Canis lupus familiaris: one gene and its partners. The protein of the gene in region 6 purifies or fractionates together with the protein of the main gene of each other region. This does not show direct contact. Links are inferred from orthologs where the notes say so. Each region holds a gene or a part of one and is shown on either strand. Other genes may lie near its edges.

Region 1 (4,895 bases), on a different chromosome or scaffold from region 6:
TATAGTTTTATCAGTAATACTACCTTTAAAAATCATTATTTTTCATAATCTATTCTCTCCTAGGAATTTTAAGACTGAGCAGGCTTTTGCTATATAAACTAGTCAAATTGTTGGTCTTTTATTATGTAAAGTACCTGAATAATTTTTGCAGACTGAAGCAGAGGACCTCGATGGAGGACCATTTTCCCGGCAGCATAATGCTGGTGTGCCACTGCCTGTTTCATCTGAGTATGTATTTGTTACTATCCGTTGTTTATTTTGAAGGGAAGAAGGAGTACTGTTCACTGAGGAGCCAGATGATTCTGGTATTTCACAACACTCAGAACACTGACATGTCTGCCCAGTGCCTTAAAGGTCTGAGTTGAAATTCGTCCTGTTGTCTGACCCTTTAGCTCTTTTTTGCTGTAGTGATCACACACACACACACAAAAATGCAATCAATTTTAATGTTTGCTGGTAAGAAGTAGCATTTGAATTGCAGGATATTTCTCAGAAATTACAAAGCACATTTCAGGATCCAGCTTTACACATGATACAAAGTTATATTTTGAGTAATAAAACTTCAAAAAATATTTTTATGTTGGAAACTGCTGTATGATGAAATTGTTCATCATGAATGGACATTTTTAATTAAGATATAAAATTTTAGTTATTTTGTGTATATACTGTGGATTAAAGTTAAAAATAAAGATTAAAGTTATAGAAACCTGTAATAAATTCCTATACTTTGTGTGTTTTCTGAACAGGAAAGATATGATCCGTCAAATGATGATTAAAATATTTCGCTGTATTGAGCCAGAACTGAACAACCTAATTGCATTAGGAGATAAAATTGATAGCTTTAACTCCCTTTACATGCTTGTCAAGATGAGTCATCATGTGTGGACTGCACAAAATGTAGACCCTGCTTCTTTTCTGAGTACGACATTAGGAAATGTTTTGGTGACTGTCAAAAGGAACTTTGACAAATGCATTGTAAGTTTGTTTTTTTAAAATCACTTAGAATTCTAATCGTTGCAAGAAATAGGTAAATGTATTTAAATCAAGAGATTTCCAGTTTTTCATTGGAGGATCTACTATTCCCATCCCTCAAAGTCCTGAAGTAGAGTATTGGCTGCAATTTATGTGAACAGAGTTAGTTGGGTGCTACGGTGCTAGCCATTTCCCCTTCTACACTGTGTATGAATCTTGGCAAGTTCTGGAGTAAGTGGCACTGAGGTAGCAGCTGCTTGAGAGGTCTACTAGGTGACTGAAATCTCAGTTAACTGATTAGTGATCATAAATCACATAAAACAATTGAAACTATCATTTGGATTTATTGTTGTTCTTTTTTAAATATGTTCTAATAGGAAAATTAATAATTAGATTATTTTAATTGTTTAAATTATTGACTTAATTAGTTGTTTTAGTTTACTCACTTAATAGCTTTAATTAATAATTATATTGCTTTATTTTAAGCATCCATTGTTCTTTGGGGCACCTGAGTGGTGCAGTTGGTTAAGCATCTGACTCTTGGTTTCCACTCAGTTTGTGATCTCAGGGTCCTGAGATGGAGCCCTACATTGAGCTCTGGGCTCAGTGCCCTCCTTCACCATCCCAAATAAATAAATAAATCTTTTTTTTTTAATTCTTTAAAAAAAATAGAGAGTACATTTTTCTTATAATAACTTCCAGCAATCATTATGTTCTTCCTTCTAATAGGAAAGAAAAATCATTAACAACTTTATTTTTGTTCACTAGGTTTTGGTAAGCTTGTAGATATGATTTGGGCTGGGCCAGGTTCTAAAATCAAAGCTTCTAGTTAGTGTGTAAAAGTGGATGTCTATCATCTGAATATTTCTACTATGTAACTTCTAAGTTATATCCAGCTCTTGAATATTCATAAAATAATAGGAGATAAAAATATTAAGGGCAGGTAAAATCCACATCATTTTTATACTTTTGGAAAATATTTATTGAGTTTTTAAAGTATGAAGGCAACCTACGTTATCTATAGAAACCTAAATGTCACCTTCTTAGTCCTCTCCTTACCACATGATTTCTCTTGGTATTTGAAATACTATGAAATTTGACCCTTATCCTCTTCCCTCTCCCACCTTCTCCTGTGGTGATACTAAACCTAGAGGATCTGACTGCAAGCTGAGAACCAAAGGGAGAATGAAGAGTGGCCAAAGGCTAAGATAATGAGTCCCATGTGACCCAGTAGAAACACTAAATCATGAGACACTGTACATTTCCAGCCTATGAAGGCTTTGTTGCTTTTATTAGTAAAATATAACTTTATATAATACCTGTTAATCCAACACAACATAATTGTTAAAAGTATAGGATGTAGTATCAGGTAGAGGTAGATGTGGGTTCAAATAAAGTGCTTATTAGCACACACTGCCTTGCATAGAAGTAAGGCCTTAGTGATAGCTCATAATGGTGGTGCTGCTGCCGCCGTGGTGGCAAGTAATAATAGTTTATTAAAGAATGTTCATGTTATTCAAGACAGAACAGTGGGAAAACAAAGTAAAATTAACTTAGACAAAGGTATAAACTCAGTATTTTCTCATAAAATCTAAAGGATTTTTCTTTTGCCACTAAAGGGACATCTCTCTGTGTCCTATTTTAACTCCTGTCTTCTCACAGCTTCTGGTGAATAGTGTGTACTCAGTACATTTTGGTATTTGGGACAAGACTAGGATCTAAGGCATGCCTTGAAAAGGTAGTGAATGGGCTTGTTTGTATTGACCCAAAAGCATGAATGTCAGATGGCTGTAGCAAATGGAACAGATAGCACCTGAGTTTGGTTCTTTCACCTAGTGGCCAAGCTCAAAGTATCTGCTGTTCTTCAAAGAACACAACAAGACTAAGGAGGCTAGCCTAAATTGTGCTAGAGCTAGTTAGAAAGTGACAGGGGTGCCTGGGTGGCTCAGTCCGTTGAGTCTGCCTTCAGATCCTGTCCTGATCCCAGAGTCCTGGGATGGAGCCGCACATGGGGCTCCTTGCTCAGCAGGGAGCCTGCTTCTCCCTCTCCCTCTCCCTACTGTTCCCCCTGCTTGTGCTCTTTCTCTGTCAAATAAATAAATCTTTTTTTTTAATTTATTTTTTATTGGTGTTCAATTTACTAACATACAGAATAACCCCCAGTGCCCGTCACTCATTCACTCCCACCCCCCGCCCTCCTCCCCTTCTACCACCCCTAGTTCGTTTCCTAGAGTTAGCAGTCTTTACGTTCTGTCTCCCTTTCTGATATTGCCCACACATTTCTTCTCCCATCCCTTATATTCCCTTTCACTATTATTTATATTCTCCAAATGAATGAGAACATATAATGTTTGTCCTTCTCCGACTGACTTACTTCACTCAGCATAATACCCTCCAGAAATAAATAAATCTTAAAAAAAAAAAATTAAGTAAGAAATCAAGTACTACCAAGTTGGGCCCTACATTATGATCTGCATTTAATTTACTTTCCAAAATTCTTCACACTATAGTGATATGGATTTGTGCTCTTAAACCTTTGAGAATGATATGATTTGGTTAAATTGCCATGGACAAGGGATGGATAAGTAATATAGTGATGTGTGCCTTGCATCCAACTTGTAGTCTTAATCACTGAATAACCTCTATGTCGAGTAATCTGCTGCAAATAATGCATACATTGAGCTTGAGAGAAATTTTGCTTTTATAAGATTTAGTTCATTGATGGCTTTTCTTTTGAGAGAAAGAGCATACACACACGTGTGTGAGTTGAGAGGAAGGGGCAGAGGGAGAGAGAGAGAGGGAGAGAATGTTAAGTAGGCTCTAAGCCTAGCACAGAGCCCAACACAGGACTCAGTCTTATGACCCCGAGATCATGACCTGAGCCAAAACCGAGAAGCCAATGGCTAACTGACTTGAGCCACCCAAGCACACTCATGGCTCATTTCTTAAATAAATGCATTGTCTTTTTCTTGTACCAATTACAACCAAGCATCATTTAGGATTATTTTTTTTTTCATTTAGGATATTTCCTGTTAAAGTTTAAGTATATTCGGGCTATAATTATATCCTGTGCATTTAAATGGCGCACTGAAGAAAAATCCTCATGTAGCTTAATAATGGCCATAGACCAGCATTCATAAATTAGTGCTTACTGTATACCAGGCACTGTTCTAAGCACCTTGCACATATTAACCTCATCTGATCTTCACAACTTCCTCTCCCCTACATAAGATAGATTCTGAGGGGTTGTGTTATTTTTCCCAGGTCAACAGTAAAGAGTGATGGAATTAGTATTCATACCCAGTCTGTTTCCAGCACCTACAGTCTTACACTACCCTCTATTACTGCATCCATTTTTACTTCTCACAATTACAATACTGATGCAGTGGAACACCTCATAGTATTCTTCAGGTTCACTTGGTCCACACTACTGCAATAAAGCAAGGATCACAATAAAGCAAGGAGTTATTGAAATGAAGTTAATTCAGATGAATTTTTTGGTCTCTCAGTACATATAAAAGTTATGTTTATATTATACTGTAGTCTATTGGTGTTCAGTAGCATTATGTCTAAAAAACAATGTACATAACTGAATTTAGAAATACTTTATTGCCAAGAAATGCTAAGCATCATTTGAGCTTTCAGTGGGTCATAATCTTTTTGCCGATGGAAGGTCTTCACTCCATGTTAATGGCTGCTGGCTGATCGGGGAGGTGGTTGCTGAAGGTTGGGTTGGCTGTGGCAATTTCTTAAAATAAGACAATAATGAAGTTTGCCCCATAAATCAACTCTTCTTTTCAGAAACAGTTTCTCTGTAGCATGCAAAGATATTTGATAACATTTTGCCCACAGCAGAACTTCTCTCAGAATTGGGGATAATCCTCTCACACCCTGCCACTGCTTTGTCAACTAAATTTATGTAA
Region 2 (4,095 bases), on a different chromosome or scaffold from region 6:
CCCCTGGCCTATTTGTCTTTTCCTCCTGTTTTGCATTCTCGTTTTTAACAAATATTGGAGAGTGCTAAACGGAGGTGGTGAATTAGGCGCCAGGAGAATCAGGGTCCGCTGTAACTCGGTGGGCAAATTATCCTAGTACTTGATGACTCAGTTTCTTTAACTGGTTTGATGTCTGATTTTAGGGCCAGAAAGGATCTTAAGAGATCATTTGTTTCAGATGAAGCACCAAGAAGTGGGCTTAATGGTGAGAAGATGATTTCGTGGGGTTAACAAAGCTCAGAACTAGAACACGTGTTCTCTCCACCCCCTGGGTTCCAGAACAGTCTCCTGCGCGAAATCACAGAGCCTGCACCACGGTTTTCATGTCTGCGGACTGAGCAGCCAAATGCAAAGGCGGATGGACTTCAGCTACGGGGAGTGGAGGAGCAAAGACCTACAGCGCTTCCGCTACCCCAGCTGACGGGGGTAGAGCATTTCTGAGATTTGCCTGGCCTACATTTTGTCTCAGGTCAGAATCTCCTCTTTTGTGAGTAGCAAAGTTTAAACTCTGGGCAAAACCATTAACATAATGTTAATGGAATGTATATAATTTCATTATGTCACGTGTACAAATTCACTTTTTTACTACTTTGCAATATATAAAGCAAAAACAAAAACAAAAAAAACAAAAACAAAAACAAAACAAACCACCTTGCTGAGCTACTCCAAGGAAAAAAAATCATCAAGCTCTGCATTTTACTATGCTGCCCTTCTTACATTTCTCTAATATCTTTTTAAAAATCTAGGGCAATGATATAGTTTACTGAGTCAGAATAAACTTTCTTAAAATGTTTTCTGTATTAGTCACTTAAAACAAGAACAGAACTAATGTCTCAAGTGCCATAAACGCAGGGGAAAGGTTTTACCTTTTCTGCACTTGGGACACAGGCCGGGTGCAGCCAACGTAACGCATGCTGCCAGGGGCCGTCGGGTACATCCTGACGCCCAAACCGTTACCTATTCAAACAGTCCTTCGAGGTAACAGAACCTTGCTCACACATCTGAGCTGCCCTTGAAATCGGCACATAGAACTTACTTTTTATCTGCTCCGCTTGAAAGCTGAGGCAGGGCTTCTAAAGCCTGTTTAAAACTCGACCTGGAACACAGACAGGCAACATTCAAGTTGGAACATTTCATATTTCTAAGGGGGATCAAGAGCATCACTGAGAACTCTTAAGTACATCTTAAATGTAAAGGAACCTGTATAAGCCAGTGAAGCATGTAGAAAAAGTAAAAGTGAAAAACAATAGAAAAAGTAAAAGTAAAAGTGAGGGTACAAGGTATGGTTCCCAGGCGGAGGCCCTGCAGGAGCAGGGTCAGAAAACTCAACAAGGAAATGAAACACGGCTTGAAAAGCTAAAAGAGACGGATTTTGACAGCAGGGTGCTACTCACGGTAGATGAGAGCTTCATAATATGGAAATGTTCAATTTTTAAAGTCTTTTCAGAACAAAACTGAACTAGTAAAGCAACTGGTAAGAAAGGGAGGAAACGAACTAGAAATAGAGATGATCCTGTGAGAGATTACCAAATGGGGGCATTTATAGTATTAACATGTAGAGGGCCTGATTTACATTAATTAAACAGTCCACAGCATTTAGTTATTATCATATTTAAAATCTGTATGGTAAGTGGGGATTGACTGGTTGGTTTTAATTCAACATCCTTTCTTTTCATGAAAACCTAAAAAGGTGTGAATTAAAAAACCCACCGATTTGGTATGCTTAACTTTTTAAAGTAGAAACTACCAGAAAAGCTACCGAATCAAAAAAAAAAAAAAAGCACTTGAGGGGAAATCCTTTGGTAATGACTTATACTGGTCACTAAGGAATAATTTTTAACTTCTCATCTCTTCTTCTTTTATAACATTGACTAAAGGTAAAGAAATAAATGTGATTATTCTTGACTTTAAGGTGGTCTTTGATCCTGTATTGTAAAACTGGACCCTCACCAGTGCCCTAGCAAACATTGTCTTGGGCGAGGTTTCTCAAACGAGGGGCAAATATCACAGCAGCAAACAGAGAGACTACGAAGTTCCAAGAGGGTTATAAAAACTGGTCCTGGAAACTTCAGTTGTTCCTGGTTAGGGCAAGGAACAGGCTACAGCTTGTGGGCAAACTCAGCTCCCTTCCCACTATGAAGTCGACTTTCCTCTTTCCTGATGCAGAGAGGAGTCTCTGCTGTTATCACGTCATCTTAAATCTCTTCTCAATCAACAAAAAGTAATGTAATGCTATTATTCTTTATTTTTACATTATGACAGTAATGATGATGATGATGAAGACAATACCACTGATTATTTGCAGTACACCAACAGGCTAGGGGGTAACTTGGCACATTTTTTCATTTAATTACCCCAAAATTCTGCCTAGAAACTACTTATTATCTTTCTTGTGTAGATGAGGAACTCATGCTCTTAAAGGTTAAATTAAAAGGAATACCTAGGTGCCTACATGAAGCATGTACCCACATCAAATATGGACTCAGTGGAGTGCCCTCTATTATCTATTATTTAGTACTTTATGTAGAAAAATGATGACTGGGAAAAGGTGTGGCTCCATAACTAACATGGGAACCATCCAGAATGGCTCTGGTCAGCCATCAGGAACAGGAATAAGAAGCTAACTTCATTTGTTAGGAAAAACTGTTGAAAGTCTTTTTAGTTGTGATAATGACTGTACAAGTGATGGTGTAAGGCATGTCCTCAAAAGCTGGAGATGAGTAACTGTATCACACCAAGTGTCCTTAGACATTTTATTTCTATACTACTTGGATTCTCAGGCATATTAACAATATAGCCCAGTATTTCCTAGGCACGACTGCCAGTGGAGTAAACAATTTTGTATAGGCAAGTAGTCAGTAATGTTTCAGTTCACCTACTGATATTTCGATAGGAAATCCTGACTTTCATTCAAAACAGCTAAAAGTTATCATCAAATTTCCACTACAAAATTTTGTAGAGAAACCACAAGGCTTCCTCTTATGCTGATATTTACAATGCTTAAACGGTCCCTCAGAGTCTGCTATGAATAGATTAAGACTCAATTCTTATTTTTTCCTTTTCAACAGAAATATATAATGCTCTGCTATATCACTTATGAGATTAAGATTTATCTTACTGAATGAAAAACATAAAATCATATTAAACCTTTTTTTCCTTTATATTATGCTACAGAGAACCAGTATTAGGAGTCTTTGGCTTATTATGCTTTTTAGCGAAAAAAATTAATGCAATGTAAACTTTATCACATCACAATCATGAGCACTCACTCTGACCAGTTATCTTTACAAAGGATTTTATATACTAATAAGATAATCTTTATTTTTAATGAAGCATTCAGAACAAAAACATTTAGCATCTCACTTGCTTTCAGGTGTCAGGTGAACAGCCACAGTATCTCTCAAAGCACAGATTTCAAGCCGTGCCTAAGGATGAGAAAAGGAAAAAGTGAGGGGAACTGCATCAATTATTAAACTGAAACAAGCGATGAGCAGATAGTCTCAGCCTGCTTACTGCAGAGACGGTTGACAGAAGACTGCCAGCACGTGGTTCCCCACCACCTGCCACCTACTAACTATGAACAGACTTTCTACAACACTCCAAAGAAATCAGCTATGACAAACTAGTTTTTTACTAGTTTAAAATTAACTAACTCAAAATTAACTCAAAGTCAAGTATGACTCTGTGAAGGCAGGGAGTCAGATTTGTTATAAAAAGGTTCAACCTATACAGGGATTTTCCAGAAATCTGTATTCACTACCTAACCAGTAATGTTTCCTTTAGTATGATTGTGAGAGGAAGCAAAATTTGAAACATTGTCCCTGGATTATTTAAGGAAACAGACTGGCTTACTTTCTTATACCTATGCCCTTTTGGGTACACTGACTTTAATCTCAAATCTAAAACAAAGCTCTGCAGATTTAATCACCACCGGCTTTTGTTTGTTTGATGATTGTTTTTTTTTTTTTTTTTTAATAAAAATTGACAAGTTGATCCAAAAACAACTTGAAAAAGAATAACACAAATTGAGAAACACTTTCTAACATCAAAGCTCAT
Region 3 (5,695 bases), on a different chromosome or scaffold from region 6:
CCAGCATGGGGACGAGGGGAGCAGCCTCAGCTGTACCCTCTCCCAGCCAGCTGTGTTGACTTAGTGCACCTGGCCCCTCTGAGCCTGAGCTTCCTCATCTGCAGCAGGGAGACAACAGCTGTGCCTGACTTGTAAGTTTATTGTGAGGATTAGACAAGATAAGGAGGAAGGATGGTGTTTGTAACAGAGAGAGACAAACAGAAGGCTCTCAATACCGGATAGCTGGCTACCAGATTACACTTAGTAAAGGGGATTTGAGAAAATATAGAAAAGCACACAGATATGTATTGTATTTGCAAAAATGCCATGATATTGTGCCGAGTTCAAAGTATTTGTTCATGATTACAGGGATCCTAAGACTTACAGAGCAAGACATTATCAATATTTTTCTTTGAGCATCTACCCTGGGCTTGGTGCTGTTCAGAGATGTAGGTGCTGAAGGGGGCTCTCTGGGCTGCTCTACCAAGTCCAAAGTCCTTCCCACCGTAGCCCTCCGGGCCCTCATTCTGTACTGTGGCACCTGTTTTAAACTTTCCCCTTGGGCAGCCGGGGTGGCTCAGTGGTTTAGCACCGCCTTTGGCCCAGGGTGTGATCCTGGAGAGCCGGGGTTGAGTCCCATGTAGGGCTCCCTGCATGGAGCCTGTGTCTCTGCCTCTCTATCTCTCTCTCTGTGTGTGTCTCATGAATAAATAAATAAATAAAATCTTTAAAAAAATAAAATAAACTTTCCCCTTTACTTTGTTCTCAGGACTGCACAAGGACCTCCTCCGTGAAATCATCGCACGTGCCATTCTACAATGACTCTGCCTTTTTATCTCCTCCATCTGCCACAGGGCTGCACTTCTTGGTGGTTTCCTTCAATACCACTTTTGTGGCCACCCACCAGATCTGAAACTGTCCTGCCCCAGCAGAAGAGCTGCCCAATCCCTCTCCAGGCTCTGGGTCCCCTTTCTTCCTCCTCTTGGATGTGGGGAGTCCTGGGGGGGAACACTGTGGTTTAGTATCCCGAAATATCCTCACACACCAGGTCACGCCTTGTTGTCTATCCCCTTCTGCTTGGATGCCAGATACATAGAGGACCTGAGGAAAGCCACACAGCTATTTATCTCCCCAAGGACCAGGACCAGAGGCAGAGTAGGCAGGGAAGGGATGGAAGAGGGAGTGGCATTTAGGTTTTTGCAGGAGCTCTGTCTTGTGGTGAGAGCAGAACATCCAGCTTTGCAGGAACCTTGATCCAGGAGCATCTCCCCTGGAGTTGTGGTTAGAGTAGCCTCGGGGCAGAGGACTTAGAATGTTTTGGAATTCTGGAGAAAGGACCTTGCTGGCCCTCCAAGCCTTTCATTGCCCCAAAGCCTCTATGAGAAATGCTCCCCGTGTGTCTGAATCCCTGTAGACAGGCGACCATCTCTCTTTAACTGACAGTAGTTACCGAGCTGGGCCCCAATCCCTCAGACAGGTTTGAGAACTTTCAGCCTTCCTCTTGCACCTTTTCCAGATCTAGGTAAGCTTCCAGCAGAAGACACCTCACCAGCAGCCAGGTTCTCACTCCCAACAAATAAAACCATACAGCTCTCTCCAAAACAGACACCCTAGGGTGAGGCTTGGACAGCAAGCTCCAAGCCTCCCGGGGATGGATGGATGCTCCAAGGACTCTGCAGCCCCAGGAATCTGGCTGGGCTCCACACACGCCAGGTTTATGGTTATGGTTGCCACCAGGGCCTTGGGCCACCACTCTGTCCCCAGCCCCCAGCTCGGGGCTTGCACACGACGCCCCTTCATGCTTTTGTGTAATGCAGGCCCGAAGGAAGAAGCGACAGCACAAGCCCCTGGTTCATCAAGTGGCCACGTGTTCGGGGCCCACTCTGTGACACGCTCTGTGCTGCGGCCTGCGGGGAACGCGACATCCGCGCCTGGACACAAAATGCGATCTAGTGAAATAAGCATGTGTCCTTCCCCAGCAGCCTTTGTCAAAAGGGCGAGTCTTCACACGAAGACCGCAAGTGAGCTCCAGCCGTCCAGCTACTTGCGAACCTTCTCTGACAATACAGGGAACACGCACTTGCCACACCCAAGATGGCCACTTGCCCAGACCCGTTATCCAGTTCCGCCTGCCACTCCCAATATGGCACGACTAGCGCGCCACTGGGTGGGGCCAAAGGCGGAAGTGGGTGTGGCCGGGACGGGAGCCGAGAGGGCACACAGAGAGACAAGGCACAGGGCGGTGGGAGCCGCTGGGCCGAGGCGATGATCCCCCCGCAGGAGGCGTCCGCCCGGCGGCGGGAGATCGAGGACAAGCTGAAGCAGGTGAGGCTGGGGAGCAGGTGAGGGAAGGGACCAAGGTCCGGGCCAGGGCATCTGCTCTGGGAGGAGGCAGGGTTGGGAGGGAGCACCCCCTGTGGGGAGACGGCGTTGGGGGCGAGGCCGCGGGGCTGAGACGCGCGGTTCTTTAGCCTCGGGCTTCTTGTGGTCTGCTCACCTCCGCTTCCCCCAGGAGGAGGAGACGCTGTCCTTCATCCGAGACAGCCTGGAGAAGAGCGACCAGCTCACCAAAAACATGGTGAGTAACCCCTCGGGTGGGAGGGGCGGACAGGCCGTTTTTGCGTAAGGCCCGGGGTTCGAACCCGGGTCGCGAAGCTGGTAATGTGTGGGGTGTCTCTTACCTAGCTCCCTTGGCCTTTTCTGCCCCATCACTGAGGATGCCGCAGCCCCTGCTGGTGCAGACTTTCCGCTTTCTGCACAGGCTCTCCATTCTTCCTTCTCTCCTAACACAAACCTCTAGCGACACTGACTTAGGTGGGCTGGGTACTGGTCGTGTGCCGTCCTCACCTCGGGTGATGACCAGAGGGCAGGAGTGGCCTGAGATTTTGTGATGACTGAGGGCAGAGAAAACTCAGCCTTCACCTCAGAGGGCTTTAGGGGTCGAAGGAGCTTTGAAATCAAACAGAGCTGGGATCTGGTCCTCGCCTCTCCCTGTATTTGTGTGTGGCTCCTGACAGGTAGGTAACTCTGAGCTTCGGTTAACTCACCTACTAGAAGCAGCGATGCCAACCTCCCGGTGTGGCTGTGAAGGTCGTAGGAGCCAATGTTTGGGAGTGCATCTTGCATAGTACTTGGTCTACAACAGGTGCTCAGCAAATAGGAATTTCCTTTCTTATTTCTAGAGGAGACTGGAAAAGCTCAAATTGAGTAGATGCAAACTGGGTATGTGCCCAGGAATACAATCATCAAGTCTTAGTCCTTATCTAATGAGATTGGCCGAGAGAGAGAGAGAGAGAGAGAGAGAGAGAGAGAGGGTTTTGAAGGTACTAGCAATGCATTTGAGGCGACTCTGTATGAAACTACTTCTTGTTCAGGCTAGGAAAGCTTCCAAGAGAAGTGAAGTTGAGATTTAGCTTCAAAGGGTGGAAGGGAAGCTATCCTGGGTGATCATTTAGAATGAGTTCCATTTGCTGTGTGGCTTGCCTTCAAGTCAAACTTCCTCCACTTTACTTGGACCACCTCCTTTGTGCTGTGCACATGGTAAGTGCTGGGGATACAGTGGTAAACAAGGACACCGTCTCCCTCCCCTCATGGACGAATTATTATCTAGGAAACCAAAGGAAAGGCTGCAAATGTCGAAGAGCTTGTGGGTGGGTGGAAGCAGTCCTGGGACAACCCCAAGTCCTGAGACTGGGCTGTCCCCCTGCAGGTGTCTATCCTGTCATCCTTTGAGAGTCGCCTTATGAAGCTAGAGAACTCCATCATCCCTGTGCACAAGCAGACTGAGAACCTGCAGCGGCTGCAGGAGAATGTTGAGAAGACTCTGTCCTGCCTAGACCATGTCATCAGCTACTACCATGTGGCCAGTGACACTGAGAAAATCATCAGGGAGGGGTGAGCTAGGGCCAGAGGGTCACATTGCCAACACCTCTTGGGCCAGTGACAACGCTAGGCTTTTGAATATATTTGAGCCCAGAATCCGTTGTGTTAATTCTCTTCCCTTCTAGATTCCATTCTCTTGGTCCTTCTTCTTCATCTTCCATCTGCCCAGGCTGATGCAGCTCTTTGCCTTCACAGCCCCACAGGCAGGCTGGAAGAGTACCTGGGGAGCATGGCCAAGATTCAGAAGGCTGTGGAGTATTTCCAGGACAATAGCCCAGACAGCCCAGAGCTCAACAAAGTGGTGAGAGGCCCGTGGGTGAATGTGGGAGGTTTGGGGACACCAGGCCCTGCCCTGGTCTCATGAGGGACACAGGGCCAGCTTAAAGGAGAACCTAGTAGAAGAAACAGTTGTAGGCAATGCAGTATGCATACTGCAGGCATGAAGACTTCTGCCTTTGAAATTATAGATAACATATTTTTATTATGTTTTTATAATTTAAACTAAATTACACATCCAATATAAATTTCATATTTGAGCTTTATACATTCATTTGTGTTTTTTTCTGTTGTGGTACAAACATAATATAAAATTTGCCATTTTAATCATTTTTAAGTGAGCAGTGGCATTAAGTACATTCACGTTGTGCACCTGCCACCCCCATCCATCTCCAGAACTCCTTCCATCTTCCCAGAATGAAACTCTTGCCCACTAAACATTTAACTCCCATTCCTCCTTTTCCCCAGCCCCTGGCAAGCATCATTCTCCTTTATATCTCTATGAATCTGATTGTTCTCAGAACCTGCATTCGTGTTTTCATGTTTGATTTCTTTGTTTTACAACTTTGTGTTTAAGTATTAGAGTTAGCAGGTGACCAGAGCAGAATGGGGTAAGGCTAGAAAGTGAGGTTGTCTCAAGGCACCAGGAAAAGGGGAGAATGCAGACCCGAAAAGTGGTAGGAGCGGAGCCCCAGACCTCCCAAAGCGGGAAGAACAGTAGAGGAAGGGTCAACTCAGACCTAGTCACCCAGCACACCTTCCTGTTGGCACTACAGTTCTCACCCCAAGTATATGTCTTGCCCAAAACAGGAAGTAAGCGAGATACGCAGATGGGAACCTGGCCTTTCTCAAACCCAGAAAGCTTTTGCTTAGAGCAGTACTTCCCAACATTTCTCCCATCGGGGTTTGTGATGGAAGTGAGGACATTTGTATGTCACACTGGGGTGAACTAGTAACCAGGCAGTGGTTTCTGGCCACCCAAGGTTCTTTCTTCTTGCCTGGAGGATTGGCAGGATCAGTACCTTGGAACACCAGTCACCAATGGGGACACACCAGTGTCATCAGTGCACTGCAGCACATGGGTGGAGGGCCTGTCTTGCAATTAGGGTGTCAGGGACTGGACAACTTTGTTTTGGGGCTCATTGCTAAGTTTGGATCGTGGAGTGAAGAGCTATCCTAGAACTTGGGCGTGGGGCTAGGGTGGAGACAGAACACGTTAGCCAGAGGTCTCAAGAGGATGTCCTCCTCGTTCAAGCAGAGATGGTCCAACTCCTTCCTCTCTCGTGTTTGAAATACCTTTATTGAGATATAATTATTTCTTGAAATGTAATTCACATACCATAACAATTGCTCATTTAAAGGATGCAATTCAGTGGTTCTAGTATAATCATGGAGTTGCACGACGTCACTGGAACCAATTTGAGAACACTTCCATCACCCAAACAAGAGCCCTGAACCTACTGGCAGCCACTCCTCTCTGCTCTTCTTCCCAGTCACGTGCCCCTGCTAGTCCATGGTCTACTCTGTTTCTCCAGATTTGTTCATTCTGGGCTTCTCC
Region 4 (4,895 bases), on a different chromosome or scaffold from region 6:
CTCCTGAGACCCTGGGTCAACCACCTGGGACTCAAGGTAAGCCTTAAAAAGCTTTTTCAGAGCTTCCAGGCAGCCTGGCCTCTTCAGCTTTGTGGAAGGCTCATGTCTGCGTGCATAACCTCTCTCCCTTGGTTTGCAAGTCGGGTAGGCTACGGGTGGTTGGGGTGGGAAATGAAAAAGGAAGCACTGCCCTCCCTAGAAGCAACTCAGTAGCTGACAAACATAGTGAAGAATTCTGTTTGATGAGTTTCTCCTCCCACTAATCCAAGCTGGAAATGCCTGTGTGGCTTATTTGTCATTGTTTGGGGATGCACAATTATACTCTTGTCTATAGCCACGGGAGCACCTGCCTAGAGAGTTTTAAAGTGAAGGTTCCTCTGACTGACCTCACAGCAAAGCCCTTGCACTAATGTCAGGAGCCCATCTGGGACAGTGGACACAGCCTCCAAGCTACAGTCCAGACTCCCCCGGCAAGCTCCAGAATGTGTGGGATCGGTTTACAGATGGGGCCAAAAGATAGCTATGGGGATCTCGAGAGAGGATGGAAAGGCTTGGGCTTCCGTAAGAGCTTCATATCTAGCATATGACTTAGTAAGGGAGAGTTGGGCCACTAGTGACAAACTACTAGCCATGGTTGGCCCCGTCTACTTCATGGTGACAGTGGCCCCATCCCCACAGGCATCCTGTCTAGCAGCAGCTGCCCCTACAGCACAGAGGCTGATAATATTCTTTTAAAGATGGCGGCCAGAAGGCTGGTTTTAAGATACAAGCCTTGGTTTAAGATACAAGATGTTTACTTGGAACACTCCCAAGTAATCTTCAGGTTTTACCTCGGGGTAAAGCAAGGGCCATTTTCAGGCTTCTGGAATCTGACTTATCCCAATGACACTACTGAAGGAGGCCAAGTCTGAGACTCTCTGTGAAGAGCTCCAGAAATAACTGTTGATCTGTGCTCTGAACCAAGTGCCCTGACCCTGAAAAGAAGACAACGAGATGAACAGGGAAGGGACCAAGGCTCTGATTCCATTCACACTGGCTTTCAAGAGCCAATAAAACTCCTCCTAGTGTGGCGCAACCTGCAGTTAGTCATGGAGTCCAATTATTACCACTGTATACTCAGCTCTGTCTTGTCCCAGAACAATTAGCAGTAAAAGCACCAGGTCAGATCTGGGCTAAACAAACTGCCAAGCTTGGGAGATTGGAGTGAAGGTGTCCTCTGGCCACATGCCATGCTTGTTCCACAGCCAGTGAAAGTTGGTGGACTGAAGAGGCAAGAACCTCCAGAACTGTGTGCTGCTCTTTCATACCCTAAGCAGTGATGTTTTCCGGGTCCCCTCCTTGTATCAGGAAGAGCCAACCTCACCTATGTGGTGAATGGGGCACCAGGGAGTGAACAGGAAATACTTTATTCTCTTTTTGCCTACTCACCTTACCTCCCAGAGCCAAGTACCCATTTCGTTTGTGTCATTCCTGAGCCCCAGACCTAGAGCCATGATGAAAGGTGGTTCACCATCCTGGGACTGGTGATACCACCATCTCTAGGCTAATACAGATAGTGCAGTGTAACTTCCCCTAAATCCCAGCCTAGCAACCTCTCACGTACTTGCTTTTCCTTGTGCCTCTTTTACTATAGGGAAAGATTATGCGAATACTGTACATATGTTATTAAAAAAATACATTTGCTCTCTTTGAAGAAGAATGCACAAATGCAGGGCAGCCAGGGCTGGGTCCTGGACTATGGGGCTGTCGTGGGTGGCCTCTGTGGGCTGGAGGCCAGCCTTCATGAGTGGTGGCTGCTGATGAGTCCCCGGAGCTGCTTGGCCACAGTGTCGATCAATTTCTGCTTGTCTCGTTCATTTTTCCGAAACTGTGCAAACATGTTGTTCTTGCGGCTGGTGTCCTTCATCCTAAACAGAGAAAGAAAGAGAGAGAGCAAAGTGTTTGAGGAGATGATGGTGGAAGAAAAACTGGCAGGAGGCAGAATGGCACAGTGCATCTTCGCCTCCACTCAGAGCTGAGAGTCTGGAATATTTCCATTGCAGGCCCGTACTTACCTTCTATTTGGAAAGCTGTCCTGCTTTCACCTTTGGAAGATAGTCAAAAGCCAGCTCTGGAGGGGCTGACCCCCTATCATCCAGACCCACCCTACCTATTTCCTTACTTTCTATCTCCAGGTATGCACCTGTTACAGGTATGTGGAGCATGCTAAAGCCCTGATGGTCAATAGGCTCTTAGAATATCTAGGATCCACTTATCATCTCATGAGCTTATGAAATCCTGCTGGGATCTTAAAGCTTGTATTTGAAAGATAAAGCAGAAAAATCCTCTCAACTAGCAATTCCAAGAGGAAATGAATAACTGAAAGCCACTGTGTCTTTCTAAACTTCAGCAGCCGGTTACTCTCTCCCATCCATAACAAAACTAAAGGCTCAACTGATCTCTTTTGTCCCAGAGTAGGGACAAAGATCCAGAGGCGGTGGCTGAGTCCATGGTGCTGAGGAGAGCAGGGGGACCGTCCGTTCACTGGAGCCAGAACTTTAGGCAAGAGAAGCCCCTGAGAACTTGAGGGCTGTCCATACCCTCAGACCTTTGACTTCTGCAGAGCTTTCTATTACCAGGTCCTGCTAAAGCTCCAGAGATGGCATATTCTTAGAGCACAAACCATGGGTAGTTCTGGCCAACGGTTGTGGCCAGATGGAAAGACAACTAGGAAGCATGGATAAAGTCAAGACCAGGCTGGGGCTTCACAGAAACACCCAAGTCTGAGTGAGCCATTGTGATAGAATGTGGGAAAGTACTAATCCCTGCAGAGTTCATAACCTCTGATATCTGCCTGTTAACTCTGGCCTCAGCCTCTGCACACTGGACCTCCAGGCCACAGCTAGTTCTGGTGTTAGAGAATTAAGAACACCACCCAGACCAACTTCTTGGGGTTGGTATAGGTAGTCTTCACCACCATCCCCCAGGAGCCTGGCTGGCTCTCTGACTTCACAGTTCCCTGAGCTGCACGGAGATAGGTCAGAAGAAGGGCTGGGGAGAAGGAACCTGTTAACCCTGGTAATCTACCTCCAGGTAAACTTCCCAGGGGCCTTCAGCTAGTCCTGGTCCATTTTTTTCCCCTATGGGGTGGCCCTTGTGCACAGGGGCAGATTTGAGGCCAATGGGTCAAAAGGCTAGAGATGCTACAAGGGCATTTATATTCAGGATATTCTGATAAGCATCAAAACTGGGTGGTTGGGGCTGACATTAACAGCCATAAATGAGTTGAGACTTTTCTCTCAGATCTAAGCTTAAGGGCTTGCAGGTTGGAATTCCTTAAGCGAACTCAGAACACTGAATATTGGGTACAACCACCCACATGTGCAGGTCTATGCTTGGAGGTGAGGAAGAAGGAGAGGTGACAGAGGTTGGTTGATAAGAAAGCACAGGATCCTCGAGGCTATGGTGATCACTGTATTTGATCCCTTGCACATTAATTGCACAATTATGTTTGTGGAACTTGCCTGGCTTTATTTATTTATTTTTAAAAATTTATTTATTTATCCCAGAGGACTCCCTTTCCTTTGCTGAATATGCTATGAATCTAAACAAAACAACATAAAACAAAAAAGAAAGAAAGGAGGAAGGAAGAAAAAGCACTCCCTTCACGTAAAGGGTGGTCGTTTTAAGGTCCTATGTGATCATTAATTTCATGACTCCTCGAAGCTGCCCAGAGACGGGGAGCCAGAACTGGCTTTCAACTCCCATAAGGCAGCTCCTGTAATAAGGTAGGAGAGAGGGAGGAAGAGGGTGCTCTCTGAGCCTCAGAGGCTAGGAGTTCTTGACCATTAAGGCCTAGAGTTGGGATTACTCAAAAGATAAACTCATGTGCCCTGATGGCTGATGGTGGTGTGCCAGTGTGTGCCTTGGAATGCTCCCAGTCCAAAGGGTAGCCCTTCTCCTCTCCCCTCCCCTCCTGGGATTCTGATCTACTTTGGCTATAGCCACCTCTCAATGATATAGGTGCCTCTTCTCTTTCCTGAATGTCTTGAGCGTGTCTTTGGGTCTTTTTACGTCTCACCCTGCCAAGAAATGCCAGGTTGAAAAGGAGAGATTGTCAAGCTCTGTGGTATATCTGGCTGTGGGGAAAGCAGGAAAGGGTCAGGTAAGAGGACTGATTCCTATGAGGCTGGGAAATAGGAATATTAGTGATCTGGGTGGCCTCTAGCCCAACTGTGTTTGGGAGGAAGCTTTTAAACTCTGATGATTGCTAGGGACAAGCACATGGCTATGTTACTTTCAGGCCTTCAGAATGCTATAGAGAGGCTGATTCTTTTAGCCTATTGTTGATCTACAGAAAGTGGATGAGGCACTCTCTCTCAGATCTAGAGATTCTTAGGAACAGACAAGTCAAGGACTGTTGAGAGAAGGAAATAGAAGGGAATCCCACAGCCTGTTTGGACACACAGTGAGTATGACGTCTAAACACCAACTGAGAGGCCTGCAATGAGGGACATTCATTTCAGCTGGGATTAGGCCTTGCCTCCAATAAAAAGTCTTCCACAGTAGACAGGGGTTCCAGATCATAACACCATGGGCTTCACCACCAGGAAGTGGGGGAGACTGCCGAGGAGCTCCCTTCTGTCAGGGCTGACATTCAAGCTTCGCACCAGCAAGGGCATAGACTGTGCCAGGAAGCTGAGTGGGAACAATCTTTTACCTGGCACCCACGGGGGGAATAATCCCTGCCACCAGCTCCAGCCCCATAGGAATTGGGAGGCCAATGGTCACTCTAAGGACCAAGGACAGAGGAGATAGCCAGCCAGTTGGCACCAGGCCAGTTTAGTAGATTAGTATGTCAGGGTGGAGACTCCTCGCAGGGTAGGGATTTAGTGCAGTCATTAGTGTCAGTGAGG
Region 5 (5,377 bases), on a different chromosome or scaffold from region 6:
AAATGGCACGTTTGGACAAGAATCACAACTGGAAGCTAGAGGAAAAAATGGATCTTAGCATAATTTCTCTCAAAGTATGAGGAATCTTAATATAATCAATGCACAATAGAAGCAGTCGTTCAGAAATCTTGGGAAGCTCAAATTTCTTTAGCTCTTTTCGTTTTACTAAACAATCCGAAGCATTATATTTACTTTTAAGAACAAAGGATAATACAAAATAAAACGAGAAAAAGGCAGCACGTAGCATTTTAGTGGGAGTCACCAAAAGTTCTTTTTCTCCCTTGGCCTTGGGTACATTATCTCACCTTTATCTTCACTTTGCTTAAAAAAACAAAAATCTCTGCTCAAAGCAGTCGTACTGAGAACAATAGCGGTTTGTATATTTTTCCTAATTTCCCATGCACCCAGATGCTGACATCTAAACAAATATTTCAGTGAAAACTTTTCTCCCATTTGCATGAAGTCTGAGCCACTATATAATTTGCAATGGAAAGTGGGGGAAAGCAGCTAAAAATCACGGGAGGCTGCCAGTTTCCTCAGTCTCTTTCTCTCTTTTTAAAATCATTTTAATTTTTTAGTATGATAAAGACAAAAGCTGCAGCTGAAAATTCACATGGTTCAGGAATATGTTGAAAAAAAATTTACTATAGTCCTTAAGATTCAAGTAAGTGATCCCAAATCAAGTATTAGAAAGCTGCTAATTAGGTGAAAATAATGAGCCACTCAAATTACATTGGCAATGTTTGCTGAGCTGTTTTTTTTTTGAAAGCTTCCCCTTGTATTCTATAAGGATCCATGTATTTGAGTCCACAAACTAGCCACTTTCAAGAAGGTATTCTTTTGACCAAAATTTACCCTAAAATCAATTTTCTCAATTCCTTTCTTTTCCCAAAATTGTTTGATCACATTTTAAGGCGGGGGGAGTGTATGAAGCAGGTCGTTTTGCACGGCACTTGTACTCTTAAAGATACCTAACATTTTAGTGAACGGGGAAACTTCACAACATACTTAAACACCACATACTTATATTATTTTTCTGTGCTGCCTAATATATACTGTAAGAAAGTGTGTTATGACTCAAAAGGATACACTGAAATGCTATAGTGTGGCAATATATTCATTAGAGAGTTAGCATAATTTAAAAAGGAAGCATATATTTTAATAATTCCAATGTTTTGTTATTTGGGCTTAATTTGAACTCTTTTTCTTTCTTTTTTTCTTTTGATTCTGCATTTTTATTTGAGAGGGTGTCTTTTACTTTTAAGCTGTGTTCAAGACTATAAAGAGTATCCTAATGCAACTTAATATAAATATAAATAATATATAAGCAATATATACGTATACATATACACAGAGCCAAGCATCAGACCACTGATGTTGTACTTTCGGGGTTCACGCGAATAAGTCTAGATGCATTTCTCAGGTCCTGGAGTTGCTTGGCGGGTTTCCCCACACCTTCTTCAAACCTTTTCTCCACCACAGGGAGGACGGTCTCATACAGAAAGGACGCATTCTGTCTGATAAAAGCCTTTTTCTCCGGATCCTGCTCACACCGAAGGCTATAATCCACATGCTGCACAGCAACCAGGATGATTTCCACCAGGCTCTCCAAAAGCACCATGTGCAGCTCTGGGAAATACAGCTTCAGCGCTTCTTCCAAGAAGCCCATGGTCTGTTTGGTAAAGGCAACCACCGTGTAACTCAGGTTCACCCAGCAGTCATCTCCTGTGTACTGCTCAAAGTTTCTTACCCCACAACTCTTCATCTCCTCTTTGAGTTTGCCCAGGGCTTCTGGGGTCATCAAGTTCATCCTCCTCCACATCTCCTCAGAGTTGCGATGCTTAGTGGCTTCGATTATGATTTCTTTGTAACTGTGCAAGGCCCCTTGGATGTCCTTCACCAGAAGGGCATGGATGATGAAGGTGAGGTCCAGTCCGATGTCACCCAGTTGCTGACAGTGCTCCTTTGCCACTTTTACACACTCAGCCGCCGTGGAGAGGCTCTCCTTACTATCGAACACCTGCTTGCTAAAAGCATCCACAAACATGCCCATGGCTGATCTCGCCCAGACCACAAAGGCAGAGTAGCAGCCGCTGTCAGTGCCTGCAAAATCCGTCTCAAATTCCCTCGCAGTCTCAAGAAGGCTGGTAAAGAACACGTGGCAGAGCTTATGAATGTAGAGTAAAGTGGCGCCTTCGATACGAAGCTGACGTATTGCAGTATGCACAGCTGCTGCCCTGTTTCTCAAAAACAGCTCACAAGCCTTTGTGCACTGGCCAAGGCGGATGAGTTGAGAAACTGCCCTTCGAGTCGCCTTGGGACCGCCTCTCAGGGAACGATCCGGGGACAGTTCGAAAACTAGCACCTCGGTGAGCTGTCGGACCCGCTCATCCACTTTGGCCCTTAGTTCTTTAACAGGAGGTGGACTGGGCTTATCTTCTAGGTAGTGGTTCAATTTGTCCAGCAGGTCAACGGCTCCTTCAAAGTCCCTCTGCGCGATACAGACATCCAGGTCTTCGGGCAACTCCTGGATCCACTCCACTGAGAGATCCACCTTCTCCTCTTCTACCTCAGGAGTAGCTGGTTCGTCCTCTTCCTCATCCTCAAATGGGTTCCCGGCTTTGGAAGTCACCTGCGGTGGTCCGCGAGGGGCCGCTGCCTCTTCCTGCTCCCTTCGCCGCTTTTCACTGAGGGCCCTCTTGGTTTCCTCCAGCACTTCCAGCCACTCCCGTTTGATTTTAGCATTCTCCGCCTGGAAAATACGGCTCTCGGGAAACATCAACAGCTTGAACATGTCCTTCATGGGCGGGTTGTCCTTGACATTGACCACGGCCAAACCGTCCAGGGGATAGAGGGCGTTGTAGCGATACATCCCCCGCCGCTGTGGCAGCCAGGTGGCCACCAGCAAGCAGTCGTTCATGAGAAAGCCGTGCACCCGCTGCAGTTGCGCCATGTGGTCAGCCTCGTATTCCACCAGGTCCCCGTTGTACACCAGGTACTGCCCCGGCGTCTCCAGCAGGTGCCTGCAGCCTTCCACCTTCTCAAGCAAGGTGGTGAGGGTGCGCTGCTTCCCTTCCTCGCCCGGACCCGAACTGTCGCGGGAGGCGCCCCCGGGAGCGGGAAAAAAGCCAGCCTGGCCCCGCAGGTGGTCTCGGCCCCCCGCGCCGCCGCCTCCCTCCTCCCCGCCCGAGGCCGCGGCAGCCCCGGCGGCGGCGGCGGCGGCGGCCGGCAGCAGGGTGAGCGGGATGCTCTCCAGGCTGCTCTTCTGCTCGGTCAGCAGGTGGCTGAGCTGATACATCTCGCTCTCCAGGTAGGAGATCTCGCGGGCCGTCTCTATGAACTGCCGGTAGTTCTGGTAGACGTTGCGCTTCAGGTTCTGCGCCGTCTCCTCCGCCAGCGCCTGGATGCGCTGCCGGTGCTCCTGCAAGTCCCGGTCGCCGTCCGACTGCTGCGAGAGCTGCTTCACGTACAGCCGCGCCTCGAAGCCCCCCGACTCCAGCTGCCGCCGCAGGCGGCTCGCCCCACTGTCCGACATCGCCATCGCCATTTCCGTCCGAGGCTCACGAAGCCACTGTCACTACCGCCGCCGCCGGTGCCGCCGCTGTCGAGACCCACCCAAGCCCCGCCGAGCTCCGGGGCTGAGGAAGCAGGATGGAAGAGAGACGAGTACGCCTGCGCCCGAGCCTGAGCTTCGGGCACCGCGCCTGCGCAGGGGGCCGGGCGCAGGCAGCGCGCATGCGCAGGGGCGCCCGCGGCCTAGAGCCCATGCGCCGGAGGCGCTATTGCGGAAGAGAGTGGAGGGCGAGGCGGCGAGACGCGGTACTGCGCATGGGCCGGGCGTGACGTTTGTGTTTGAAGTGAGCGGCGGAGCGTAAAGGCGGTAGCCAGTCTCCTGACGCCTTCCTAGAGTCCAGGCCCTGGGAGCCCCCGTTTTGAGCCCACTAGGAGGTATCCTGCAGAGTTCTCTTTTTTAAGCCCCAGAATCTTGGCCTCGGCGTTTGGGGCAAACTCAGTTCTCGTTCTAGAGCCAGTTATTCCTGAGTTCTCGCGAGATCGGCGGGCCGGCCCGAGAGCCGCCCGAGAGCCGGTACTTCTTAGGAGCTCGACCAGGCTCTCGGAGCCTGGGATCCGTGGAGCCTGCTTAACGCCTTCGGACGCCGCCTGGGATCCCGGCAGAGATGGACGAGGATCTGGTGTTGGCACTGCGGCTTCAGGAGGAGTGGAACTTGCAGGGATCGGAGCGCGACCGGGCCCAGGCGCCCCTGTCGCTGGTGGACGCGTCCTGGGAGCTGGTGGACCCAACCCCGGACTTGCAGGCCCTGTTTGTGCAGTTCAACGATCGGTTCTTCTGGGGCCAGCTGGAGGCCGTCGAGGTGAAGTGGAGCCTGCGAATGACCCTGTGAGTCCCGAGCCCCGCTGGGGAAGCGAGAGCGGCTGGCAGCTCCTCTGCAGCCCCCGGTCCCGGGGGGCGTGAAACCTGGGGGTCTCGTGGTGGACACCAGCAGCTCCTCTCGCTGTCCCTCTCCCTCCCCTAGTCTCCCTCCCTCTCCAACAACTTTAAGAAAGCTAGCTGTGTGGCCCATTCCGGTAGCCGATTGATTTGTAAAGGACACCGGGAGAGAAAAGGATGTCTTTGGATCTCCCCTCACTTGAAAATAAATTAACACGTTTCTGACCCAGGAGGGAGAAGCACCCAGAGTCAGCCCCTAAGAAAGAATGCCGAGGAGGCAGCGAAGCCTCCCAGAGATGTGTGTTGTCCTCTTCTGTGCCCTTTGAGATGTCACCACTTGGTAGTGAGCTCAGGTGTTAGGAGGGGGACGGGGCTGACGTTTCCGTATTTCTGGACCGAAAGGATCTTCGGGGATGCCTCTAAAAGGATGTTCACTAAAGTAGAGAATTCCTGATTTGAAGTAATCTGTTCCGGCTCATGAACGGAGTTAACAGCTTTAATATGGTTGTACACCACGGTGCTTGTCTTTGAAGTAATACAAAACAGCCTAAACTAAGACAGATTAAGATAGGACATAAAACTGGTTAAAAGGACAAATCTCCTTCGTAAAGGCTTCTCTTACGCTTTCGGAGATGCGCCGATGGAGATCTGGCTGTTAACTACCACAAACTGATTATAGTTTGAAGGGAGGAGACTGGGAGCCGCAGAACAGGATTGTCTTTGGCCTCTTGCAACCTGGCTAGGGCAAGGGATGCAGTTCTCTTCACACCTCTCTCTCACTGGGGTGATCTGAAGATATCTCCTAACAAAAAAGGTATACTAGTGTGAACTGCCCAAGAATGTATAAGGATTTATTCTTCTCCTTTCTGTTTCTCTTTTGTGTGTTTTAGGTAAATAATGCTTTTGTGGTGGTTGTTTTCCAGGTGT
Region 6 (5,528 bases):
CAGCCAGGGACCGCTGGATGTCTTTGACGTCGTTCAATGCATTGTGGAGCTGGCTCAGGCCTGTGCGCACACCATCCAACTGGGACTGGATCGCAGCCTAGGAGAGACACCCAGAGGCGAGGGCATTGTGAGCAGAGCTGGGATGGCCAGGAACAAGTCTTCCCCAGGACGCTCAAGTGCACAGGAGACAAATACAGTAGCTGGGAAGAGTCATTACTTGGAGAAAAGAGAATAAAATTCAACAAGGACTTAACTAATTCACAAAATAGCTTTTCCTTTTTTTTCATTGCTGCCTTAGAACAGAATAATGCCTTTTAAAGATTTGCTGAGAAGACCTCCCAACTCCTTACCCAGGCCCTCAGCCTGAAGATGCTGGACACCACCATGGGCATGCCTCAGGTCCTCTGGCTGCCCCAGGATGACCACACACATGGTTCCCCAGGCATCCCTCAGGCCTCATCCAAGACAGTCAGGACTTGCTCATCAGCTTTGAGCTAGAAGGCCTCCTGCCGCTCAGCCAGGACCAGACTCAGCTCAAGGAGGGTTGGCCCCACCGTGCAGAACTGGTACATCTGAGATTTGAACTCACTCCATGGGCATGCCGAAATGCCATCAGCAAGGGGTACAGCCAGAGGGAGGGGACACGGAGGAGTGTAAGTCAGTGGAGAGAAAGGCCAGGAACACATTTGACCCAGGAGCAGGAAGTTGCCCATGGAAATAATTAATGGTGATGGTAATGGACTACAGAAGGTTTCTAGGCCACAATGATGATTCTCAGTTAATCCCACAAGTTTCTGAAACAGATTAAAATGCTGACTAAAAATGTAGCAGATCCAAACTATTTCATAAATTAAAGTAAAACTACTGTTTTAAGTAAGTCCAGTCTTTGGAGGCTTCATTTTTGGTACAAATGAATGATCCTCATCCTGTCTCATCAAGCCTGCTGCTGGTGAGTTTTCAAGGGGAGAGGTGAGTTCACTGTCATGAGAGTGTGAAAATGAACTTTCCTCAAAGGCATTCTCTTTACCCCAAGGACCGCTCTGCTGCCCATCAATCACCACAGACCATGATCCTAATGTTTTTATAACTACACTGAATGTATGTGTTTTAACAAAACCTCACCTCTTCATACAAATTAAGTTGAAAGCAAAAGCAATCATAAAATACCTTGAAAAAGAATAATTTTCTTTCTTGCCTCTCTGTCACATTCTTAATTTATATGCCTTGCTCTCCTCCCTCCTTCTTCCCCAGGGCCAACAGAGTACCCGGCACAGCCAGCCACTGTGTGCTGGAAAGTTCTAAACAAAATGCCTTTTAACAAATAAGGATAGGTGCTATGCTTCCACTATTGTTTAAAAGTTTTTTTTTTTTAATTTTTTTTTTAATTTTTATTTTTTTTATGATAGTCACAGAGAGAGAGAGAGAGAGAGGCAGAGACACAGGCAGAGGGAGAAGCAGGCTCCATGCACCGGGAGCCTGACGTGGGATTCGATCCCGGGTCTCCAGGATCGCGCCCTGGGCCAAAGGCAGGCGCTAAACCACTGCGCCACCCAGTGATCCCTATTGTTTAAGTTAAACGGACACTTCTAGGTGCTTAAAACTTTGTTCCTTCGTTGTTTCCAGTATTCCTGCTATCTTCTCTATAAATCTACTGCCTGGTAACGTAGTGTTGGAAGGAATGTCTTAAGTAAAGCTGATGGTCTAATTCTGTCTGTTTCCAGATCATCACCACCGAATTTACCGAAATGACAATCGTGATGTTGTGCAGGAACCCGAAACTCCATATCCATGGATCTATCCTGACTGGGAGTAAAGATCTATCCCGACTGTGGCCTCTCTGGTCGTGTACCTTCAGTCTGGCCTCCACGGATGCCTTCTTCCGGGCCTCTCTTCTGCGGTACTGCTCCACTTTGTCCAGCTGGTCCGGGCGCTGAAGCATCCCAGCAACCCTCTGGACAGCTGTTGCTACAGCCTCCCGGTCTGTCTCCTTCATGGTTAGAGAGCAGGTGGGGTGTCTGCACCAGTCATACTAGAGGAGTCCTGTGTGCACAGGGAGAGAAGGGAGCAGGAGGGGAAGACAAGTTAGGACGGGACAAAACTCATTCCCTGTAATGGTCAGCTGTTCACAGACACTAAAGGAGAACTTCTGACAGCACTACTCCAGCAAAGCTGAACTCCTTAATACACCTTCAGGGCGTGATCTGGAGACAGCTGTACCTTTGAGCAGAGGCACGTACAGTTAAAGCTATGAACAAACAGAGGATGTGTTGATGTGGCCTGCAGACCCCTCACCCTATCAGAGGTCCATCTCCAAGGTACTTCTCTCCCGTGGACACAGCCAATTTCTGGAGCCTTCACAGCAGCTGTTGGCCACACCGGTGAGGCAGCAGAGCCGGGAGGCCGCAGTGAGGAACTGAGGCACAGGACCAGCAGATGCCTCAAAGCCTCACCCACCCTCAGCTCAAGTCCCAGCACCTGCCCTAGGGTTCCCCTCAAAAACCACTACTGGGGCACCTGGGTGGCTCAGTCCATGAAACACCTGACTCCTGATTCTGCCTCAGGTCACCATCTCACCGTCCTGAAATGGAGCCCCAGGTCAGGGCTCTATGCTCCGCAGGGAGTCGCCCTCAGATTCTCTCTCTCCGTCCCTCTGCCCTCCCCCACCTGCATGCGTGTTTGCTGGTGGGCACACTCTCTCAAATAAATAAATCTTTAAAAATGTTTAATAATGTTTTTAAAAACCATCACTGTTTGTAATATCTGAAACTCCACTGGTACATTTAGGAGGCGTGACAAACAAGACAAGAGGGCAGAGCACAGGTGCAGAGCGCACAGGCTTGACCCCGAAGCCAACCTACCATCCACCCCAGCGGCTGCGGGTGCCGGTGCCCATGCCCAAGGGGCCAAGGACAGGGTCTGGTAAACACGCGGCCCCCTGAGCCCCACACCTTACAGGCCCTCGGCACCCATGCTTTCTGTACACAACTTCTTACAATGATGAGAACCACCCCTCTTCTCCCTGGTCCTACCCCCAGCCCCGGTGCTCTCAGCAGAACCCTGAAGGCGCGGCAGGTTCCCAGCGCCTTCCGCACGCAGGTGGCCCTCCCGCCGCTTCCACACGAAAGCCAGCGGGGCAGGAACACGCGGAGGGCAGGGGCGACGGCCGACCGACACCCAGGAGGCCGGCGAGGCCACCGCAGGTACCTCTGCACCTGCTCGGGTCCTCGCCGGCAGCGACTGCACGGCCGCTCCCCTGCACCCCGCCCTCACGCCCCCGCGGCGCCCGCCCAACCACCCGCCACCGGCCCCGACCCGGGGACCTAGCCTCCCCCGCGCCTCCGCCGCCCCGCGTCCTCCTCACCCCCGCGGCGCTCCACGGGCGGAGATCCCGGGTCCGCGGCGAACTCGCCCAGCCGGGGGCGGGGCTCCGAGGGGCAGGGCCCGGGGCACCGCGACGCCGACGCCTCCGCCTCCGCGCGGCCTTCCGGGCCGCGAGCTCCGGGGACGACAGCGCAGCGCGGACGTGCTCGGGAGCTGCCGCCCCGCTGCCCGCTTCCCAGGCCCCAGACCCCGGCGCCCACCGCCCGAGCCGCCCGCCGCCGCGGCCACCCGCGACCACTCACCGCAGCCGCCGCCCGCCGCCGCCCGCCGGAAGTGAGCGAGCGGGCACTTCCGCTTCCGGTCACGCGCCGCAGGGGCGGGGCCTGGGCTCTCTGAGAGGCTGCTGGAGGCGCGCTGGGCTGGGGGCTCGCTCCCTGCACGCTCCCGGGGACCGAGACCTCAGGACGGGGTCCCCGCTCCCTGGACTCTCCCCGGGGACCGAGACCCTCAGGACGGGGTCCCCGCTCCCTGGACTCCCCCGGGGCATCATGACCCTCAGGACGGGGTCCCCGCTCCCTGGACTCTCCCCGGGGGACCATGACCCTCAGGACGGGGTCCCCGCTCCCTGGACTCTCCCCGGGGGACCGAGACCCTCAGGACGGGGTCCCCACTCCCTGGACTCCCCCGGGGCACCATGACCCTCAGGACGGGGTCCCCGCTCCCTGGACTCTCCCCGGGGGACCGAGACCCTCAGGACGGGGTCCCCGCTCCCTGGACTCTCCCCGGGGCCTGAGATCCTCAGGACGGGGTCCCGGCTCCCTGGACTCCCCCGGGGGACCGAGACCCTCAGGACGGGGTCCCCGCTCCCTGGACTCTCCCCGGGGACCGAGACCCTCAGGACGGGGTCCCCGCTCCCTGCACGCTCCCTGGGGGACCGAGACCCTCAGGACGGGGTCCCCACTCCCTGCACGCTCCCCGGGGACCGAGAGACCCTCAGGACGGGGTCCCCGCTCCCTGGACTCTCCCCGGGGGACCGAGACCCTCAGGACAGGTCCCCGCTCCCTGGACTCTCCCCGGGGGACCGAGACCCTCAGGATAGGTCCCCGCTCCCTGGACTCTCTCCGGGGACCGAGACCCTCAGGACGGGGTCCCCGCTCCCTGGACTCTCCCCGGGGCACCGAGACCCTCAGGACGGGGTCCCCGCTCCCTGGACTCTCCCCGGGGCCTGAGATCCTCAGGACGGGGTCCCGGCTCCCTGGACTCCCCCGGGGGACCGAGACCCTCAGGACGGGGTCCCCGCTCCCTGGACTCCCCCGGGGGACCGAGACCCTCAGGACGGGGTCCCCGCTCCCTGGACTCTCCCCGGGGCCTGAGATCCTCAGGACGGGGTCCCAGCTCCCTGGACTCCCCCGGGGGACCGAGACCCTCAGGACGGGGTCCCCGCTCCCTGGACTCTCCCCGGGGACCGAGACCCTCAGGACGGGGTCCCCGCTCCCTGCATGCTCCCCGGGGGACCGAGACCCTCAGGACGGGGTCCCCGCTCCCTGCACGCTCCCTGGGGGACCGAGACCCTCAGGACGGGGTCCCCACTCCCTGCACGCTCCCCGGGGACCGAGAGACCCTCAGGACGGGGTCCCGGCTCCCTGGACTCCCCCGGGGGACCGAGACCCTCAGGACAGGTCCCCGTTCCCTGCATGCTCCCCGGGGGACCGAGACCCTCAGGACGGGGTCCCCGCTCCCTGCACGCTCCCTGGGGGACCGAGACCCTCAGGACGGGGTCCCCGCTCCCTGGACTCTCCCCGGGGGACCGAGACCCTCAGGACAGGTCCCCGCTCCCTGGACTCTCCCCGGGGGACCGAGACCCTCAGGATAGGTCCCCGCTCCCTGGACTCTCTCCGGGGGACCGAGACCCTCAGGACGGGGTCCCTGCTCCTTGCACGCTACGCTCCCCGGGGACCGAGACCCTCAGGACAGGTCCCAGCTCCCTGGACTCTCCCCGGGGGACCGAGACCCTCAGGACAGGTCCCCGCTCCCTGGACTCCCCCGGGGGACCGAGACCCTCAGGACGGGGTCCCCGCTCCCTGGACTCTCCCCGGGGACCGAGACCCTCAGGACGGGGTCCCCGCTCCCTGCACGCTCCCCGGGGGACCGAGACCCTCAGGACGGGGTCCCCGCTCCCTGCACGCTCCCCGGGGACCGAGAGACCC

The links.
Region 1: the proteins of EXOC3 (region 6) and EXOC1 purify together in Homo sapiens (affinity purification with mass spectrometry; 5 studies listed by BioGRID and IntAct, counting the BioPlex papers as one, with this or other methods). This does not show direct contact. The link is inferred for Canis lupus familiaris from reciprocal best matches to the Homo sapiens genes EXOC3 and EXOC1.
Region 2: the proteins of EXOC3 (region 6) and EXOC2 purify together in Homo sapiens (affinity purification with mass spectrometry; 6 studies listed by BioGRID and IntAct, counting the BioPlex papers as one, with this or other methods). This does not show direct contact. The link is inferred for Canis lupus familiaris from reciprocal best matches to the Homo sapiens genes EXOC3 and EXOC2.
Region 3: the proteins of EXOC3 (region 6) and EXOC7 purify together in Homo sapiens (affinity purification with mass spectrometry; 5 studies listed by BioGRID and IntAct, counting the BioPlex papers as one, with this or other methods). This does not show direct contact. The link is inferred for Canis lupus familiaris from reciprocal best matches to the Homo sapiens genes EXOC3 and EXOC7.
Region 4: the proteins of EXOC3 (region 6) and EXOC6B purify together in Homo sapiens (affinity purification with mass spectrometry; 3 studies listed by BioGRID and IntAct, counting the BioPlex papers as one, with this or other methods). This does not show direct contact. The link is inferred for Canis lupus familiaris from reciprocal best matches to the Homo sapiens genes EXOC3 and EXOC6B.
Region 5: the proteins of EXOC3 (region 6) and EXOC8 purify together in Homo sapiens (affinity purification with mass spectrometry; 5 studies listed by BioGRID and IntAct, counting the BioPlex papers as one, with this or other methods). This does not show direct contact. The link is inferred for Canis lupus familiaris from reciprocal best matches to the Homo sapiens genes EXOC3 and EXOC8.

What each region holds. Positions count from the first base shown.
Region 1 is NC_049234.1:48,920,326-48,925,220, forward strand, and holds part of EXOC1 (exocyst complex component 1), read left to right. Parts: intron 1-151; coding exon 152-228; intron 229-746; coding exon 747-975; intron 976-4,895.
Region 2 is NC_049256.1:2,150,249-2,154,343, forward strand, and holds part of EXOC2 (exocyst complex component 2), read right to left. Parts: intron 3,978-4,095; exon of another isoform or gene 3,465-3,977; coding exon 3,403-3,464; intron 1,136-3,402; coding exon 1,076-1,135; intron 509-1,075; exon of another isoform or gene 218-508; intron 1-217. UniProt on the Homo sapiens protein: Component of the exocyst complex involved in the docking of exocytic vesicles with fusion sites on the plasma membrane.
Region 3 is NC_049230.1:5,416,136-5,421,830, forward strand, and holds the start of EXOC7 (exocyst complex component 7), read left to right. Parts: upstream 1-2,146; 5' UTR 2,147-2,244; coding exon 2,245-2,304; intron 2,305-2,491; coding exon 2,492-2,557; intron 2,558-3,688; coding exon 3,689-3,873; intron 3,874-4,056; coding exon 4,057-4,162; intron 4,163-5,695. UniProt on the Homo sapiens protein: Component of the exocyst complex involved in the docking of exocytic vesicles with fusion sites on the plasma membrane.
Region 4 is NC_049238.1:51,118,861-51,123,755, reverse strand, and holds part of EXOC6B (exocyst complex component 6B), read right to left. Parts: intron 1,908-4,895; coding exon 1,781-1,907; 3' UTR 1-1,780. UniProt on the Homo sapiens protein: Component of the exocyst complex involved in the docking of exocytic vesicles with fusion sites on the plasma membrane.
Region 5 is NC_049225.1:8,511,045-8,516,421, reverse strand, and holds the start of EXOC8 (exocyst complex component 8), read right to left. Parts: upstream 3,696-5,377; 5' UTR 3,548-3,695; coding exon 1,364-3,547; 3' UTR 1-1,363. Other genes in the region: DNA-dependent metalloprotease SPRTN, read left to right, coding at 4,179-4,399, 5,374-5,377. UniProt on the Homo sapiens protein: Component of the exocyst complex involved in the docking of exocytic vesicles with fusion sites on the plasma membrane.
Region 6 is NC_049255.1:11,954,822-11,960,349, forward strand, and holds the start of EXOC3 (exocyst complex component 3), read right to left. Parts: upstream 3,677-5,528; 5' UTR 3,624-3,676; intron 3,489-3,623; exon of another isoform or gene 3,362-3,488; intron 2,041-3,361; 5' UTR 1,994-2,040; coding exon 1,850-1,993; intron 98-1,849; coding exon 1-97. UniProt on the Homo sapiens protein: Component of the exocyst complex involved in the docking of exocytic vesicles with fusion sites on the plasma membrane.